5 linked regions of the Mus musculus genome follow. The protein of the gene in region 4 interacts with the protein of the main gene of each other region in a pairwise test. Links are inferred from orthologs where the notes say so. Each region holds a gene or a part of one and is shown on either strand. Other genes may lie near its edges.

Region 1 (3,450 bases), on a different chromosome or scaffold from region 4:
GCATTTGGCAGTTGACAGGGTGGGATGAAGAAGGGGCACACAGCAAGCATATTCCTCTACCTAAGCCCACAGTCCTGAGTCCTCCTGTGCCCTAGATAAGAACTGCCTTATAAATGTGTCTACCATTTGACTAAAGTCAGGGACAATCTTTTGCTGTGTTTTCATGTGTACACAAACCTGTATGAAGAGGCTGAGGCCAATGTGGGCTGTCACCCTCAATTGCTCTCTACCTCATTGTTTGAGACAAGAGCACTCTCACTGAGCCCGTTGGTAGGCCTGTTATTTGTGCCCAGCTTTTTTTTTTTTTTTTTTTTGAGACAGGGTTTCTCTGTATAGCTCTGGCTGTCCTGGAACTCACTTTGTAGACCAGACTGGCCTCGAACTCAGAAATCCCCCTGCCTCTGCCTCCTGAGTGCTTATATGGGATCCTCGCTTCACCCACTGGAATAACCTTGATGCCATCTGTCACTCTTCAAACTTTTAGAAACCACAAAAAAACATTTTGAGAGTTATATAATCACTTTATTTTCCATCCCCCCTCAAATGTAACAACATTAAAGCCATTCCAACATATAGCTATTCCTATGGCTCCTTGCATAGCTCATATCTAGCTGAAGTTAGATATTTCAGTAACGAGATGAAGGTTATCTCATCAAAATGACAACATGTCTCAAAAACAGGTTCTCTATTCCTGTAACTCTCTTCCTACCCCTCAAAACTTAAAACCCCTTCAGTCCAAGGCTAACAGGAAGATAGCCCACAGCCACGGCTAAATCATTGCACCCAGATAGCCCACAGCCACGGCTAAATCATTGTACCCAGATAGCCCACAGCCATGGCTAAATCATTGCACCCATGCACAGAAAGGGGTCCCAGACAACCAGAGGGGTTAGGGTTAGACTTCTGGAACAGGCAACTTATTATTTATACAGAATAGACTATGGAAGAAAAGCCCCCTTTGTTAGTGTTTTACCTCCACCCCAAGTTACTGCATACCAAGCGGCTATGAATAATGGCAGCCAGCTGACTGCAAGTCCCGCAGTGCATGCAACTTAAAAGTCTCTACAGCATGGTCCCAGGGGACACTAGGGAGCCACCAGGTTGCCAGCTGAGTCTGCTGGGTTGCTGGGATTTGGAGGTGTGGCTGCTTTGGCTTCTAGCTGTTGGCTTTCAGTTTGTGGATCTTTGTTTTCAGGACCTTTCTTATCCTTGTCGGCTACCACGGCACCCATGATTTCCTGGAGTGGCTGCTCGGCCTCAAGGTTGCTGGGCTGGAGTTCATAGACTTGTACTTGACCTGGGACATCAATTGCTTTCTGCTCAAGTTTTTCCAAGATGGTCTGAACCTTCCTGACGCCATCTCTCCTGGCCTGCCGCACATCAGCTCGTCCTTCAGGGTCTACGGAATCCAGGGCCAGCAGCTCTTTGGTCAAATACTCTTCGATCATCAGGTATTTTTTATCAGTCTTCTTGCCTTCAAAGCTGTCTACAGCCTGCTCCAGCCCTTGTACCTTCTCCAGGATGGCTTCCACTTTCAGCACACCTGGATGCTTAGGGGGTGTTTCGGCTTCTCCCGATTTGGGGGCTGCAGGTTCTGCAGGGGCAGGGCTGGGGGCCGCCTTCTGTTCTGCAGCCACATTCTTGGGGGGAGAAGGGACAGCCGAAGGAGCGGGGCTGGGAGAAGGACAAGGAATTGGAGCAGAGGAGACCTTTACTTCTACCTTTTCAGCAGGAGGAGGTGACTTCTGGGAAACAGGCTTAGAGTCTGCCTCCCTTCGGATCACTTGGATGGGGATGTGTCCAGGAGGGAGGTCTGGTCCGGCTGGGCCTGGCTTACTTTCTGGTTTGTTTTCGGGTTGGGTAACAGGTGGAGGCTCTCGATGGGTCATGGGCTGTTGAGAAAAAGAGGACATCAACTTTTAATAACTGTCTAAAGCAATAATTCGTGGTTAATAGCAGGCGAAGAAATAAAAAAGAAATAAAAGCAAGAAAGCTGGAAATAACTTTTTTTTTTTTTGGTATGTTTGCAGGATCTTGTGCCCCATGTCCACATGGCCCTCAGGGGACAACCTGCAGAGATTTCTACCCTTCCTCTATGTGGGTTCTGGGAACTGAACTCAGGCTGCCAGGCTTGCAAGCTCTTTATCCACAGAGCTTAGAAAATGATGTTCATAAAAAAAAAAGATTTAAAAATTTTTTATTTATGTATATGTGATCTGTGTGTATGTTATCTATCCTTGGAAGTCAGAAGAGGGAGTCAGATATCCTGGAACTGAAGCTCCAAGAAACTATGAGGCACCCACACAGGCGCTGGGAACCAAACTTAATCAAGAGCTGAGCCATTTCTCTATGCCCATAATGAGATCTTTTTAAAGGCAGCCAATAGCTGAAATGCAAACTGGATGTTGATTATGAATGCGACCAAATTATCTGCTAAGCCTCCACTGATTGGCTCGCTACCTGCTTGTCTTCTGTAGAGAGGTGACAGCCTTACAGACAAGGAAAAGTACGCCACTGTAATTTTCAAAAATGAAACAGCATGCTGGCTCTCAGTAGGGTTTGCTCAGAGCAATCTCTGACTGACTGCATTTCAGCCCTGGGCCAGAGATGCTGCCTCGGGTCTTGCTGTATAAGGTCTCAGCTCCCAGGTGCCCTTTCAAGGTGACCTGTAACAGCCTAGTGGTTTCTGCTCAGACCAGTTTGTTGTTTGTTTTTTGAAAATAAGCTAGATGCTTGAAATAGTTAACCCTGGAGGAATTCAGGCCCTGCATATTGATGCAATGCCGTGATATAATTGATGCCTTACCCTGGCATTTGGCTGCACAGCCCTTCCAGGGACTGGAGATCAAGGTCATATTTTAAAATATCAACTATGCTCCAAACTGGAACCGAATAGGGCTCTTCTAGCACTGAATGAATACTTAGACTCCAAAACCCTTACAATGCCCCAGCTTCATTAACTGGGAGGAAATGTTGCGCTACTTCATCCCAAGTAAAAGTATTAATTCTATTTTAATGGTCAGATAAGTTAAATCCTTGAAAGTTCTAAAAAAAAAAAAAAGGTTCTTTGAACAAGATGTAAAAGAAAGGCTACCTTGATCAAGGTCAATAGAGGTCGAACTAGGACTAAATACTCCCTCACTGACTACAGGAAACATGGGCAGCCCTGTCCTGGGATTACAAAATCCAAGGATGGACCCTGAGTGGGTGGCTATCTCACTGGCGTGCTGTTTCCACCAAACGCTTTCTGCCCAGCATCATCAGCCCTCACTCCTCACCAGGCCTCTCGGCTGCCCTCCCACTGTGGGTTTTAAAATCAATGGATGGCTGTGTGAGAGTAAACTTAGGAAAAGGATGTCCCCTGCTCTTCAGAAATGTCAAGGTCATGAAAGCATTAAAAGGCTGAGGGACCATGCCAGAGACTAAAGAGAAGTGACATCTAAAGTCAGT
Region 2 (3,500 bases), on a different chromosome or scaffold from region 4:
AAATACAAAGACTGCTTTTGTGAAATGGATATAGGCTGTGACAATATCTTCCAACTGACTTTTCTATTATTTTACTACACAAGTCTGTTTCTCACAAGAATTTCAAATCTCAAAAAGCAAACAGGAAGCAGAAAAAAACTTCAAAATACCATAAACAGGTAATCTATATGTTAAAACACCATAAACAGGAAATCTATAAGTTAAAACACTATAAACAGGTAATATATACTTTAAGCAACATTAAGGTGAGTTCAACATTAACTAATACCTTCCAAGTCCAAGAGGTCTTGGGAGTCGGGTTTTGACTCTTTTGGATCTATGCTCTGGAGAATCTGCAGGGCTCTATCCATTTTACCCTAGGAAGAAAACAGGAGATGCTGAGAAGTCTGAAGAGTTAACCACGATGAATGGAAAAGCACTGTGCCCACATACTCCAAAAAGATAGCATTATTTTTAAAACATCTTGGTAGTTTATTAAACAAAAGGTCGATACCTCATCTATATAAACAGGCTCAGGTTCTGATTTCTTAATTTCCTCCACATCATCATCAATTACATTCAATTTGTCCACCGTTGCTACAGAAACAAAATAAGTTTTAGGTTTTCAACATTACAATTTAGTCATTAAATTTCTAAGTGGTCTATTATTATCCATAGGAGAAAAGTAGAAGCTCCCTAGTCGCCACACTTCATAATCAATATATTACACACAGTCGTTCATTTACGCCACCATATCTACTCAGCACGCACAGTGTGCCAAACCTCCTTCCCTCTGGTGCTTAGATTCGTGCAGGGAGTGAACAGAATCTTCTGGGGTTGGTGGACCCCACAGTCAAGTGGGACAGAGCAGTATCCACGGGCTCTGTCACTACAGCTACTTTCATGAAAACTGTTACTGCTGAGATGAGTAAATATACAAGCGAATAGATGTTTATGACTAAGCCAGTTTCTCTTATAACAGTGTTCCATCTATACTCTGACCTATATTTATAAATAAAAAAAAAAAACTCAACCTGTATTTCCTATTTGAACAAAATATAGACCCAACTCAATCTAACTCTGAGAGTTAAAATAGTATAAATTACAACAAAAAAGTATTTCATAAAGAGAATGTTTTAAAATAATTTATAAATACGCATATCTGAAAACTACTTAGTACAAGTTCCCTGGAACACTGTTAGAATGTACCTAATTTTAACTAAATTTTGATGGAAACAAAATTACTATAAAAAACAATGTATCTAAAGGACTATTTGGCTAACTTTGAATTAATTACATGTAAAGAAAGCTCAACAAGACACAGAGATACAGTTAGAGTCAAGACACCTTTCATGCAGAGCATGGTGGCACATACCTTTAATTTCAGCACTGAGAGGCACAAGCAGTTGGATCTCTGTGAGTTCAAGGCCAGCCTGATCTACAAAGAGAATCCAGGACAGCTAGGACTCTGTTACACAGAGAAACTGTCCCAAAAAACAAAACATAAAGAGTACCTTTTACCATTTAAAATGTTACTGAAGAGAGGCTGGCATCTAACCTAGGGCACTGCACAGGCTAGGAAATCATTTTACTAGACTATAGGCCAGTCTCTTCCAACTATGCTAAGAGGAAAATCACTGAATAGGATGTTTTCTATGTTTTGTAAAGTTATCTGAAAAGTTCCCAAGGTTCCTATCAACTAAGAAAGCCAAAGTAGATTGTTTTTTGTTGTTGTTGTTTTGGGTTTTGTTTGTTTGTTTGTTTTTTTGGTCCTTGCTGGCCAGAAACTCACTGTGTGAGTCAGGAACTCAGACATCTGCCTGCCTCTGCCTCCCAAGGGCTGGGATTAAAGGTGTGTGCTGCCACGCCCAGTCCCACCTACTCTCAGAAGTCAATAATAAACTCAAAGGAAGATAACTTCAGTAGACTGGAGCTTCTTTGGGAAACTAAAGCCTTTGCTACGTTACCTGTCTCAACCTCTGTGCTTAAGTCAGTCGTTACAAAGTTGGAGGGGAAGAGTCCTGTTCCTCTGTGATTTTCTCCTTGCCACCAGTTGGCGTCACTGAAAACAGCATGAGAAAGGTCATTTGTTATCCTCCATCCTGTCGACAGAAAACTGAACACAGCTACTGGACTTTCCCAGTTGTTCCCATCCAGCTATACATAAGAATTGTTTTCCTTGGCCAGACACAGTGGGATAGACCTGTAATCCTAACACTGGAAAGCCAGAAATGCTTTTTTCTTAAATTAATATATTTATAATTAAATCAGTGAAAAGATAGTCAAAGAAAATCTATATCCTCATACCTACATTTTGAAGCAATTATCAGTGACTAAACCCCAAGCCCAAATCCATCCTTCCACGCTACATCCATCCCAACTAAAGCAGCTCCCTTCCCAGCCTCCTTGCCACCTTTCACACAAGGACAACTGAACTGACACCTGTATGGAGACGTGTTACCCGGGCAGAGCGTACAGTTTCATGATGCTACTCATCTTTAAAGTTCCATCCCAAGTGCCTATGCACTTAGTCCAGTCATTTCTGTGAAGGTGAACTCCTGACAGCTCATTCCAGGTCACTCCCAGTCTCCCAACACTACAAGGACTGAAGAGTACAGAGGTGGTGGGAGATGCCCTTGGGAGGCAGAAGCAGGTGGATCTCTGAGTGGGGCCAGCCTGGTCTACAGAGTGAGCTCTAGCACAGCCAGGGCTACACAGAGAATCCCTGTCTCGGGAAAAAAACAAATAAACAAGACTGACTAGTAACCACTCTGGGTTAGAAAGCCCACAAGCAACAGCTGCTCTAGGTTGTTCAAGGCCGTGACCTGCAGGCTAGGTGTGTTCACACGTCTATAGTTCTTAGTACTTGGAAAGAACTGCACAGCCACGGGTTCAAGACCAGTCTGGAGAAAAAGGCCAAACAATGAAACTATCTCTGAAAAGGACTGAGGGATGGGGCTGGGGAAGGATGGACACACAGACAAAACTACTTGCTGCTCACATGTTTATTAGAAAGACTGGTAGCTCACACTCCTTCTTCCCCAAGGAGGATGGGGCAGTCATTTTCCCCACACTTGATAACTGCCCATACCAACATCTGATGCCAGAAAGAAGGCGAGCCAGGCGTGCTTCAGCAAGCTCATCCGCACTCTCCAGGGCCCACTAGTGCTACACTGCCTCTTCCACAGACTGACTTTTCTTTTTCTTCTTTGAGACAGTTTCTCTGTGTAACTTTGGCTGCACTGGAACTTGCTTTGTAAACCGCTTGTTCTTTTTTTTTAAAGATTTATTTATTTTTATATGAGTACATCGTAGCTGTCTTCAGACACACCAGAAGAAGGCATCAGACCCCATTACAAATGGTTGTGAGCCACCATGTGGTTGGCTGAGAAATGAATTCAAGACCACTGGAAGAGCAGTCAGTGCTCTTATCCACTGAGCCATCTCTCCAGCCCCAAACTGCTTATTCTTATCTTTGCCTGTTAGTTTTTCCTACTGGACCACAGGTATTTGTTTTTTCA
Region 3 (3,500 bases), on a different chromosome or scaffold from region 4:
GTATCCTAGAGAATTTGGTAACAATTAATAGGATTCTGATATTGTAGCTTAGGTTGATAGCCTACCCCAACCTCCTGTGTGCTGGTTATAGCCACCAAGCCCAGATGAGGAAAAAGAACTGGATGAACCCCGTAATATAAGAAGTATTGGCAAATGACCTTGAATCAAAGGGAGAAGTTTGTATTGCTCACAAAAGTGGTAGAAAGTTTACTTGCAATAGGAGTATGAGAGTTGAGATGCTAGTGGTGAGCAGATGGGTAGACTACACAAATGTGCTCCCGGTTACCATTTCCTGTGTGCAGTAAGTTTAGTAAGTATTTGAGGACAAAGGAATAGCAGTTCGTAGTCATCTGAGACAGGGAAACTGAATGTCGTGAGTAAACATGCTTCTATGAGGTTGCTGGTCATAGCTAGCTAGCTTGCTATATGTACTTCTAGCATGTTCTACCACTATATAGGCAGTATAAATTCTTAATTGATTTTGTCTAGATTTGGGAGTTTGTTAGAAATACATTGGGGAGGGTTTGAAGCTATATAAGAAGATAATTTCATGATTTATTGATTTAATGTAAACAGATTAAGGGTCTGCAAATAGTTTTAGATATTATGGATTCAAAAATCATTGGTGTCTTCCTGTATTCATGCTGTATGTAGGCATGAAGACACAGGGGTCCTACAGATTAATAAAGGAATGGAACAAAGTACATGGGCTTTTTATTTCTGTGTTTAAGTTAATTACTAAAAATATTTAAAAGTGGCAGAATTTGGTAATAAAGTCTCATCATCTCTTTATAGTTTTTATGTACATTATGTTTGACCTATGAAATAAATGTTTTCATTGTAGTTTTCTATGCATTGCATAGTATGCTAATCTTCACATTTTATACCATTGAATAGTGCTTTTTAATATGTAAAGCTGCATGATTTCTATATTGTCACTATGCTATAAAGATTATTATTTTGTAAGTTTAAATAAAATGTTTTGTTTGTTTTTAACAGGCACTGTTCCATGGAAAGTTTATTGATACTGGTTTCTCTTTACCATTCTACAAGCGTATGCTAAGTAAAAAACTTACTATTAAGGATTTGGAATCTATTGATACTGAATTTTACAACTCTCTAATCTGGATAAGGTTTGAAGTTTTTTTTTGTAATAGAAGTAATTACTTGAAACCCATTCCTATACTGTGTTTATATGCACACTCACACTATTTTTTTTTTTTTTATCCAGAGATAACAATATTGAAGAATGTGGCTTAGAAATGTACTTTTCTGTAGACATGGAGATTCTGGGAAAAGTTACTTCACATGATTTAAAGTTGGGAGGTTCCAATATCCTGGTGACGGAAGAAAACAAAGATGAATATATTGGGTAGGTTGATAGAGCTGATTGAATTCATTCTGTAGAAGGTATGGGATATAATTAGAAATATCCTATATTTACACTCTTAACCTTAGTAGTTTTTATGAAACACATGGAAAACTCTCGTCAGGTTCTTTCTCCGCTGGCTCAGGTCCTTGTGCTCTGTGCTGATCCAGATCCTGCTCGAGTTTGCTCGAACAATGCATATCGTTAGTCACTTTCCCATGTGCATTCGCAATAGGCAGTCTCGCTTCTGACCAAGTCAGAAGCCATGACAACATGCTGCTGAAAGCGATTTCCAGTCTTCAAAATCTCAGAAAGAAAAGTTGTATGTTCTCCTAGCCTATTACACATATACATATACAATGCAATGTGTGTGTGTGTGTGTGTGTGTGTGTGTGTGTGTAAAAGTGCACTTCGGGATAGTATAACCTGAAGAAGAGAACAGGAAAGAGTAACTTATCAGAGATGATAGTGAAAGACTGAATGAATGTAGGTAACTGAAACTTGATTCATAAAAGAGGATATAAAGTATATTTTTTCTAGTTTTAAATCTGCCATTTTTTGGTGATGGATAAATGCATGCAAATATTCAATAGTGAAAATCCAGTGTGAAGCTTCACAGCTTCAGAATGTTTATAACGATCAATAGATGTGGGGTCTGGTTAATTTTGGTGTATGAATTTTTTATTTTTAAGTTCTTTATGATAAAAATTTAACGTAAAGTATTTTGCAAAGGCGATGTAGCCTCCTCGTTTACAGATGAAGGGACTGAAGCTATGCCAGGAATGGGCAGAATTGTGTCTGGGAACTCCCCTTTCACTGACATTTCATCCCACACTACTCTTGAAAAGTTTTAGTATTTATTTATTTTGGCTTTGCAAGAAAGGGTTCTCTATGTAGCTTTGGCTGTTGTGGTATTTGTTCTATAGACCAACCCAGACTCAAAATCAGAGACCCACCTACGTTTGCTGGGAATAAAGGTGTGTACCAACACACACAGCCCACAATCCCAATTTTTAGCTTGTACATAATAAATATTTTATTGGCATCTATTCAGTATGTATGCTGCTGGGTTGTACAAAGAAGTTTTAAGTAACCATGGGCTTTGAGTATGTTCAGTCTTGCATTTCCTCCCCCTAGCCTTACTGCCTTCAGCTACTCTTATCCTTTCCCAGTTCGTTTTCTATTTTCCTGTCACAGGACAGCTAGAAAATTGGCTCAGTAGTTAAGAGCATTTGCTGCTCCTGTGTACTAAACTCCAGTTTGGTTCCCAGAACCTACATGGTAGCGCGCAACCATTTGTAACTCTAGTTCCAGATCCGACTCTGTCCTCTGCAGGCACCAGGCATTCACATGGTACATATAACATATGTGCAGGCAAATATTCATCCACTTAAAATAAGAACACATCTTTGAAGAAAAAAGTAACGAATATATACCTTTCTGAAAAAAGGGAAGCATGAAACCTTTGCTTTTCTGTCTGGTTTATTTCACTAAACATAATCATTTCTAACTTTACGCATTTTCATCAAGTTGAGATTATAAATATAATTAGATTATTTCTCTCTTCTTATCCCTCCCTTCAAGCCCTCTCCCATGTACCTCTGCTCTCCTTCAAATTCATGGACCCATGCTTTCATTAACTGTTGTTACATGTTTATATGTATATGCGTATATATTCCTAAATATAACCTATTCAGTCTGTATGATGTTAATTGTATGCATATTTCCATGGCTGTATGGTATTTGGTAAGCAATTAGTCCTCTTTCCTGTTTTTGTCTTTTAGTAGTTACTATAGAAGCAAGCCAGATTACATGCTCAGCGGCAGTGTGTAAGGATGCTCTTTTCTCTGCTTCCTTGCTAGCATTTGTTGTTTTCTCTTTGTTAGCAACTCTGGGGTAAGATGGAATCTCTGTGTAGTGTTAATTTGCATTTCTGTGATGACTAGTGATGTTGAACATTGTTGTTTTTGTTTTTGTTTTTTTTTCCATTTGTTCCTCATCTTTCAAGAACTGCCCATTCATTAGACGAAAGTCAAGTGGCTTTTTAACTCTAGGGCCTGTATTTTATCAAATTGATTCATGTCTCTGTTTTTAGCCAGGCCATTTATTTTTCTGACTGTGTTTCTGTATA
Region 4 (3,500 bases):
TCTTAATTCTAGCATTAAAACCTTTGGTTACAAATGACAATGTGAATACTCACTGGGAAACTCACGTTCGTTCGAAGGAATCCTGCTCATTTCAACAGATCAAGGAAATGGATTGGGAGCCAGGGGAATAACGAGTTAACCTGCACTCTAGCCCATGGGTTCCTGGGGATAGTCTGATCATTCATGAAAAAGTTTGAAGTAGGTCTCTTTATTTCAGTGTGTTTTTTTCTTTTTTCCTGTTAACATTTTAGATCTCACTTCTAAGCCCTAAGAGTTTGAATACCTTACCTCCAGCAAAACACTAGTCAGATCATTCTGCCATGTTCTCCTCTATTGACCTATGGCCTGGCGTAGGGAAGGTGTGTGTTACCTTGAGTTATCTGCGTGCAAACTGGCTCTGCTGGGCTCGCAGCAGTTTCTGGTCCTTCTGGCATTTGGAATGAAGACTCCTGCATCAGAAAGGAAGGGAGAAGGAGGGGTCATTGTTTTTGGTTTTTGATCCTCAGAGGACCCCCGTAAACCCCTTCAGGTTATGTTAGAGCATATACTCTGGGGAGTAGGCATACCTGCTCCTGGTCAGTCTGGCTCACTACAGCTTCGTATGGAGGTGGGGGGTCCAGAGGACAGAACACTTCCACACCCTTGATGCGTGCTCCATAGATATGGGGCAGTGGGATGACATCAGAACCAACCATCCTAGAAAAAGCACCGGGTGTCAGGAGGTGCGCTCTGTACACTGGCCCTCCTACAGCAGCAGACCCTGGACCCTCTGCCTTTGCCTTTAAATTGGGAGTGGCCTGGACCTAGAGGAAAGACACTCACAGAAGCTCAGCCAAAGAGGAATAACTATTCAAGCTATCCTTAGGCAAATACCCAGGGGGTCCTTTAGAAATGACAGTGTATAAAACGTAATGCCCTTTTTTCCTTTTAGTACAGCAGTGTCCATGGGGATGGAGAGCATGGGTGGCTGCCAGGCTCTGAGGGAGGGGCTAGGGAGGGGTTGCTTAGTGTTTATGGACTTGGCAGTTGCTTACGGGAGAGGATAATGCTTTGCAGAGAGTTAGAGGTGATGGTTGCACAATGAGGTGGATATACAAAATACCACTGAAGCATATCGCTAACAACAGCCAAGGCAACTAAGGGTAAGGAGAATCTTGGTGCCCTCCTGCAGTCGTTCACAGAAAAAGCTTCTTGCCTCGGTTTCCTTCACGTCTGATTCGTGAGAGAAATTCACTGTTGGATAACTTTTTTTAAAAGGGGAAATTAATTTCAAACAAAAGGTGAGCATTGCCCCCAGCTCCAAGACAAAACAGGAGCTAGCAGAAAGGATCATAGAGTGACTCGCACATGCTCCTCAGGTCACTCCCTGACTAATGATGCACTGGGCCAGGTGGGTGGCACTGGATAAAATTCAGAAACAAGAGTCCTAGTAAGAACAAAGAAAGAGGTGGGTTAACATTCTATTTTTCTCTGAACTTGATGTGACAAACCTGGCTGAGTTGACAAAAAAGATCTGCGTCCATTTGGAATATTGATACCTCACTCCCAACAACAAAGCTATAGCTAACCGATAGTTTCAGCAGAGAAACTTTAAAAGAGTCTCGCTATTACCAAGATGCAGAGAGGCTGACTTGACAGTTACTCTGTCATGTGACTGGGACTGAAGAACCAGCTGCTGTTTTCCTGGTTAAAGCTAACTTCTCCTGGGGCTCCTCTTCCTCCCTCAACCATTCCTGCTGATGTCAGCTATTTCTACTCTGTTCTTCACACACACCCACTTCTGTTGCTCCACCACGGGATATGTGGGGTTCCTGAGACTGTACCATCTGCCACACTCAGCAACATAAGTATATGATGTCTCTGCCTTAGCACAGAACTACTCAATTATACTCCTCCTTTCCAAATTGCCTTTCTCCCAACCAACGTTAGATGCTTTCCCTTTTCAAGTACTTCTTAAGTAATAGTTTTTGTTGTTGTTAGAGAGGGTTTGATGTCCCAGTGCTTACAGATAAGCACCAGAAAACCAGACATTTTAAACATGAAAGGTTGTCTCTTCAAAGGAACTGATGCAGAACCCGTTTTTCCCACCGAGAAGGCTAGAAATGAATTTGGTTAGTAGCCTGGATGCCTTCTGCACTATCTGTATGACCACACCTGATCCTCCTCCAAGTCCTTAAGATAACATATGTAGTCTGTCTATAAATCCCAGTTTCCAGGGCTAAAGAGATGACTCATGGGTTAAGAGCACTGCCTGTTCTTTCAGAGGTTCTGAGTTCAATTTCCAGTAATCACATGGTATCCCAGAATCATCTACAATGAAATCCAATGCCCTCTTCTACCATGTAGGCAGACACGCAGATAGAGCACTTACATGCATAGACTACATAAATAAACTTTAACAAAAGAACCCATCTTTATGGAAGAAGTGGCACATACGTTAAGAGTTTCAATGCAATTCAATCCCTTAAGCTTTATTGTATACACAGAATTATGTTACACCAGAAAACTTTTCTATATTGTGCTAAACTTAAACCAAAAAACTTAAACTAAACTTGAACCAACACTGGCTACTGAGTCATATTGAACAGGACTTCTTTTTTGGCTCATGAGGATCTACAGTCTGATGGCCATAGTGTTTCCAGAGACAACACACACACACACACACATTGTTGTTGTTGTTGTTGTTGTTGTGTTGTTGTTGTTGTTGTTTTAACTGTGGTTGTAGGACCCTTGACAGAAAAATTAAAAGGAAAACCAAACTCACAAGATTCCCTGCCAGTATTTATCGCATATAATAAAAAGAAGAAAAGACATTAGAAAACACAGAACTGAAATTTTAAAGTAATTAAAAAAGCAAAAGGTAAAACAAAACAGAGAACCCTGTGCTCAGTAGGTACTAGATGACCCATAGCAATGTCTCTTCTTTAAAAAAAAATAAAATAAAATTCTCTTCTTAGAATATGAAGAAAAGAAAAGAGGGAAGCTTACAGATAAAAAGACAGACCCAAGGCCAGATGCATCTAAGCGACTGAAGGGGAGAGGCAGAAACTGGATTTAAAACTCATCTTATTTCTTGTGCCCATTTATGCTCCCCTGAAAGGATAGAGGCGAGGTTTTATACTGGCACATGACTTTGGATGTTCCCCAGAGTGGCTGTGTAAAGTGTCAAGCATCCAGTGCACAAAGAAGTCCCATGAAAACACTCTCCCTGGTCTAGAGGGTTCCTGTCAAAGCTGCCCTAAGTAGATATTCTCCATAGAACAAGGACTCAGGCATGGATTTCGTTCCAACTCTCCTACCTAGCTCATGCTGTTTAAAAACTCCCACTGCTGAGTGACTCCAAAGGACTAGACCCTTCCTAGATTTAGTGGGAGAGTCCTGACCAATGAACATCACAGCTGTCTGAATCAGAGAGGCCAACTTTCTCCAGATATGGTGAGGCTTCAGTCTTTAATCAACACCCATGAGTCATCTTTCTAGCATTTCTAAACCCTGCCTTT
Region 5 (3,500 bases), on a different chromosome or scaffold from region 4:
CGTGCGCCACCACGCCCGGCCCCACTGTTCTTAATTCTAAGAAAAACATCTGTTCTCCACATATGCCTCTTCAATATCCGTGTGGGTATTTGCCTGCCATGTGTGTCTGAACTGTGTGCATTGCAGTGCCTGAGGAGGCCTGAAAAGGGATTTGCATCTAGCACTGGCGTTAATAGGTGGTTGTGAGTTGTCATGTGGGTCCTGGGACTTGAACCTGAGTCCTCTGGAATAGCAACCAACTACTGTGAGCCATCATCTTGGTCCTGCTCCATTTTTTTTGAGACAGGGTTTCATTTTGAACCCCAGACTAGCTTGCAACTTGGCATTCTGCCTCAGCCTTCTGAGTGCTGTGTGCCTGGTTGGATGTTGTAATGAATGTCCAGTCAGCAGTGTTTATGCGTCTTGTAGTCTTTGATATGTACCAGGGTTTGGCATTTCATTTGGTAAGGTAATTCACGGTCTGCTGTGCCTTGACCCCACAGTATTAACAGTTTGCTTCTCTTATTTTACTTCTTACATGATTAATTTGCACTTGTAATTAAAAAAACCAAGATGCTGGAGTGACAGCAAAGCCGTATGAAGGAAGCAGGGTGGCTCCCTTGGTGCTGGGTTCAGAGCTCCTGTGCCTATCTGATAGGAAAGCGCCCAGCAGTGGGATCAGCAAAGCAATACTCATGTCCCTGGGCATTGGGTTTCAGTAGTCTCCAGTTACTATAAATATTTATTTGTAGAGAGTTTTCTCTTAACTGTAAAAACAATATTCACTTTTGGGCTATATAAAAACAAATTGTGAGAGCCAGATTGCTTTTGTAGGCTGAAGCTTGCCAAATTGTCTTAAGATATTTTTAAACTTTAGAGTGTGGAAAAGCTAACTTGAAACTTCAAAATATAGGAACATCACAAACACGGGACTCACAGCAAATTAGAAAGATGAATGGAGACGCTTAAGTGATAAAGGGGCACTAGTTCAGAATCCAGAATGAAATGAAGAATTAAATAGTTGGTTAACATTACACTGGCATTTCCCCCCCAGTACTGTGTCAGAACTCTTCTCTCTTTATTGAAGTAAGCCAACTTGCTCTTTTTGGGCCTCTGAAGTGTCACTGTCAGAATTCTTGTGCCTTGGAGCCATAACCAAGTACAGTAAAGGTTGATCTGAAAATAGAGCTTAGTAACTAGTACTGGTTAGCAACTTTATTTAGCTATGAACACTAAGTGTGGAGAAGGGGATGTAAAGTCACAATATATACTGTGTCTTAAAACATAAATGTGTGTCTTAATCTGTTTGTTTGTTTGTTTTTTTTGTTTTGTTTTTAAATAAATTTTTAGCTAGTATGTTCAACACCCCCGGAATGCAGAGCCTGCTGCAGCAGATAACTGAGAACCCACAGCTCATGCAGAACATGCTGTCCGCCCCATACATGAGGAGCATGCTGCAGTCCCTGAGCCAGAACCCCGACCTTGCTGCGCAGGTGAGCTTGTGGCTGTGCTGAGAGTGTTCTGAACTAAACAGGCCTGTGGTATCCTCTCCGCACGTTGGCTTGTGCTCTCTCAGAACACTAGAGATGTGGACACTGCACCTCCAGCTTTGGGGGCAGTTTTAGTTCAGATATACTTGAAACAATCTCATGTCTGCCATTTGTTGATGAGATGTACTTTTAAAAACAAAACCAGGCATTTTTAGGGAACCTGCTCTGATCACTGCTGCTCCCCAGTGTGGTGTTTGGTGCTAGCTCTCGGGGTGGTGGTTGTGGATGGAGATGGAGCAGCAGCACCCTTCCTGTGCCTGAACAGCTGGAGGGAGTACAGTGAGCACCCACGTGGTCACTGCTGGAGGAATGTAGCTTACAGTGTGCTCTGGGTGCTTACAGCACTCTGTTAAGTTTAAAAGCTTCTCTTCTTTCATTATGAAATGGTTTTTATTTTCAAAATCCTGCAGCCACACTGCTACAAGGGTATAGCAGATGTCGTTGAGGTAGGGTCGGTCCTTGGTGATGACTTATGTAACAACAAATACTTAAAGGACAATGCATCTGGATAATGTTAATCTCAAAACGTGCATGGTATGGGTTGTTGTGTGGTTTTGTGAATTTATTAATTAAGTGCTTGATGTTAATGCGTGCTAAGCATTTTTGTCACTTGGGTCCCTGAGATGTGGAGGTGTGTGAAGTGACCTATATTTTCAAGTATGTATTCAGTTAACCCTGAGTGTGTGCCTTATCCTTGGTTCCTCGTTAGTGAGCACACTCTTGTCTGTAGGGGACCTGGGTGCTTCGCAGCTGTTGTCTGCTAGCAGTAAAGCAAAACCCTGGCAGTCAAGGTGATGCCCTTATGATAGAGTCCTTCCCAGCTTACAGTGTGCTCTGATGCCGCTGCTCACGTTCATAGTGGGTATTCTTTTCAACTTAAATATTTAATTATGTTAAATGTAGAAACTGAATTGTGGAATGGAGGTTCAGGTAAGTGAGGAAAATATAATAAGTATGATAAATAAAAAGGTGTGTATGTGTGAGTGTGTGTGTGAGACAAGCTTTTTCTATACTAGTTGAGTAATTTAAGATGAAAGTAAATGTGGTAACTGATTAACAGCCTCGTAACAAACGAGCATTTGCCCGGAAGACTTAAAAAGAGGCGTCCCTGGCCTGGAGCAGGTTCTGGTAATTTGCTGCTTACTCTAAAGTACACTCTGTATCCATAAGACACCAACTGTTTCCTGCTTTGAAATTAAATAATCCACTTTGAAGGAGGGATGGGAGAAGTTGTTTTTTTTTTAAGACAGGATTTACATACAGTTGTTATTTAGTATGGTTGCCTAATTGAGGGCAAAGATCATTTCCTCCCCAGACTTTGGACAGGTAAAGGGGCCATCAGTAATCTTTGGGAAGCAATATGCAATTTGTCTTTTTTGAACCTTGTAGTTTCTGGTTTGCTTATTGTGCATGACGGTCTCACCCCAGGCAGTCACATCATGTTAATACTGGTCATACGTTGACGGCTAGGTGTCCCCCGTTTTTACTGTGGTGCTAGTGAAGTGGAAGCCAGACGTTAGTTAATCTCGGTGTTCTTTCTCATTTACCTCTCTGCGGCTTAGGTATCTAAGCACTTCCCTGAGGATGGCTGGTGCTAGTTTGGACTGGTTTTCACCTAGCAGCTCCATTTCTCTGACAAGTTGATTGCTGCTTTGTGGTTATTCTGGACCTAACAGCAACTGTTAGTGGTGGGCAGGCAGATCCAATGGTCTTAGACCTGGGTGTTCTCTCTGCTTGCTGTTTGTGTGTTGAAGTTTCTAAGCAAGCCATGTTTAAGCTGTTACATATTGATGTTTCTTTTACTCTGTAGTGTAGCAGAAAGCATATCTTCCTGAGAGCCTGGCACTCCCAGGTTTTTTCTTTTCAAAGGCAGAAATTCACACCTTTGTTCAAGGAAAAGGAGACAAAACAATTGCTTTTATTTTTTTAGGGCACTGCATGTCATCCATCACCCACCATTCTCGTTGAAAG

The links.
Region 1: the proteins of Fam189a2 (region 4) and Bag3 interact in a two-hybrid assay, tested with the Homo sapiens proteins (2 studies listed by BioGRID and IntAct). The link is inferred for Mus musculus from reciprocal best matches to the Homo sapiens genes ENTREP1 and BAG3.
Region 2: the proteins of Fam189a2 (region 4) and Stam2 interact in a two-hybrid assay, tested with the Homo sapiens proteins (2 studies listed by BioGRID and IntAct). The two-hybrid records come from large-scale screens. The link is inferred for Mus musculus from reciprocal best matches to the Homo sapiens genes ENTREP1 and STAM2.
Region 3: the proteins of Fam189a2 (region 4) and Wwp1 interact in binary tests that used the Homo sapiens proteins (3 or more experiments, as listed by UniProt). The link is inferred for Mus musculus from reciprocal best matches to the Homo sapiens genes ENTREP1 and WWP1.
Region 5: the proteins of Fam189a2 (region 4) and Ubqln1 interact in a two-hybrid assay, tested with the Homo sapiens proteins (2 studies listed by BioGRID and IntAct). The link is inferred for Mus musculus from reciprocal best matches to the Homo sapiens genes ENTREP1 and UBQLN1.

The regions. Positions count from the first base shown.
Region 1 is NC_000073.6:128,544,032-128,547,481, reverse strand, and holds the end of Bag3 (BAG family molecular chaperone regulator 3), read right to left. Parts: intron 1,893-3,450; coding exon 1,086-1,892; 3' UTR 501-1,085; downstream 1-500. UniProt on the Homo sapiens protein: Co-chaperone and adapter protein that connects different classes of molecular chaperones including heat shock proteins 70 (HSP70s), e.g. HSPA1A/HSP70 or HSPA8/HSC70, and small heat shock proteins (sHSPs), e.g. HSPB8.
Region 2 is NC_000068.7:52,707,650-52,711,149, forward strand, and holds part of Stam2 (signal transducing adapter molecule 2), read right to left. Parts: intron 2,042-3,500; coding exon 1,947-2,041; intron 577-1,946; coding exon 494-576; intron 357-493; coding exon 269-356; intron 1-268.
Region 3 is NC_000070.6:19,625,505-19,629,004, reverse strand, and holds part of Wwp1 (NEDD4-like E3 ubiquitin-protein ligase WWP1), read left to right. Parts: intron 1-999; coding exon 1,000-1,133; intron 1,134-1,231; coding exon 1,232-1,372; intron 1,373-3,500. UniProt on the Homo sapiens protein: E3 ubiquitin-protein ligase which accepts ubiquitin from an E2 ubiquitin-conjugating enzyme in the form of a thioester and then directly transfers the ubiquitin to targeted substrates.
Region 4 is NC_000085.6:23,979,020-23,982,519, forward strand, and holds part of Fam189a2 (protein FAM189A2), read right to left. Parts: intron 697-3,500; coding exon 567-696; intron 450-566; coding exon 371-449; intron 1-370. UniProt on the Homo sapiens protein: Functions as an activator of the E3 ubiquitin protein ligase ITCH in the ubiquitination of the CXCL12-activated CXCR4 receptor. Thereby, triggers CXCR4 endocytosis and desensitization, negatively regulating the CXCL12/CXCR4 signaling pathway.
Region 5 is NC_000079.6:58,181,154-58,184,653, reverse strand, and holds part of Ubqln1 (ubiquilin-1), read left to right. Parts: intron 1-1,329; coding exon 1,330-1,472; intron 1,473-3,500. UniProt on the Homo sapiens protein: Plays an important role in the regulation of different protein degradation mechanisms and pathways including ubiquitin-proteasome system (UPS), autophagy and endoplasmic reticulum-associated protein degradation (ERAD) pathway.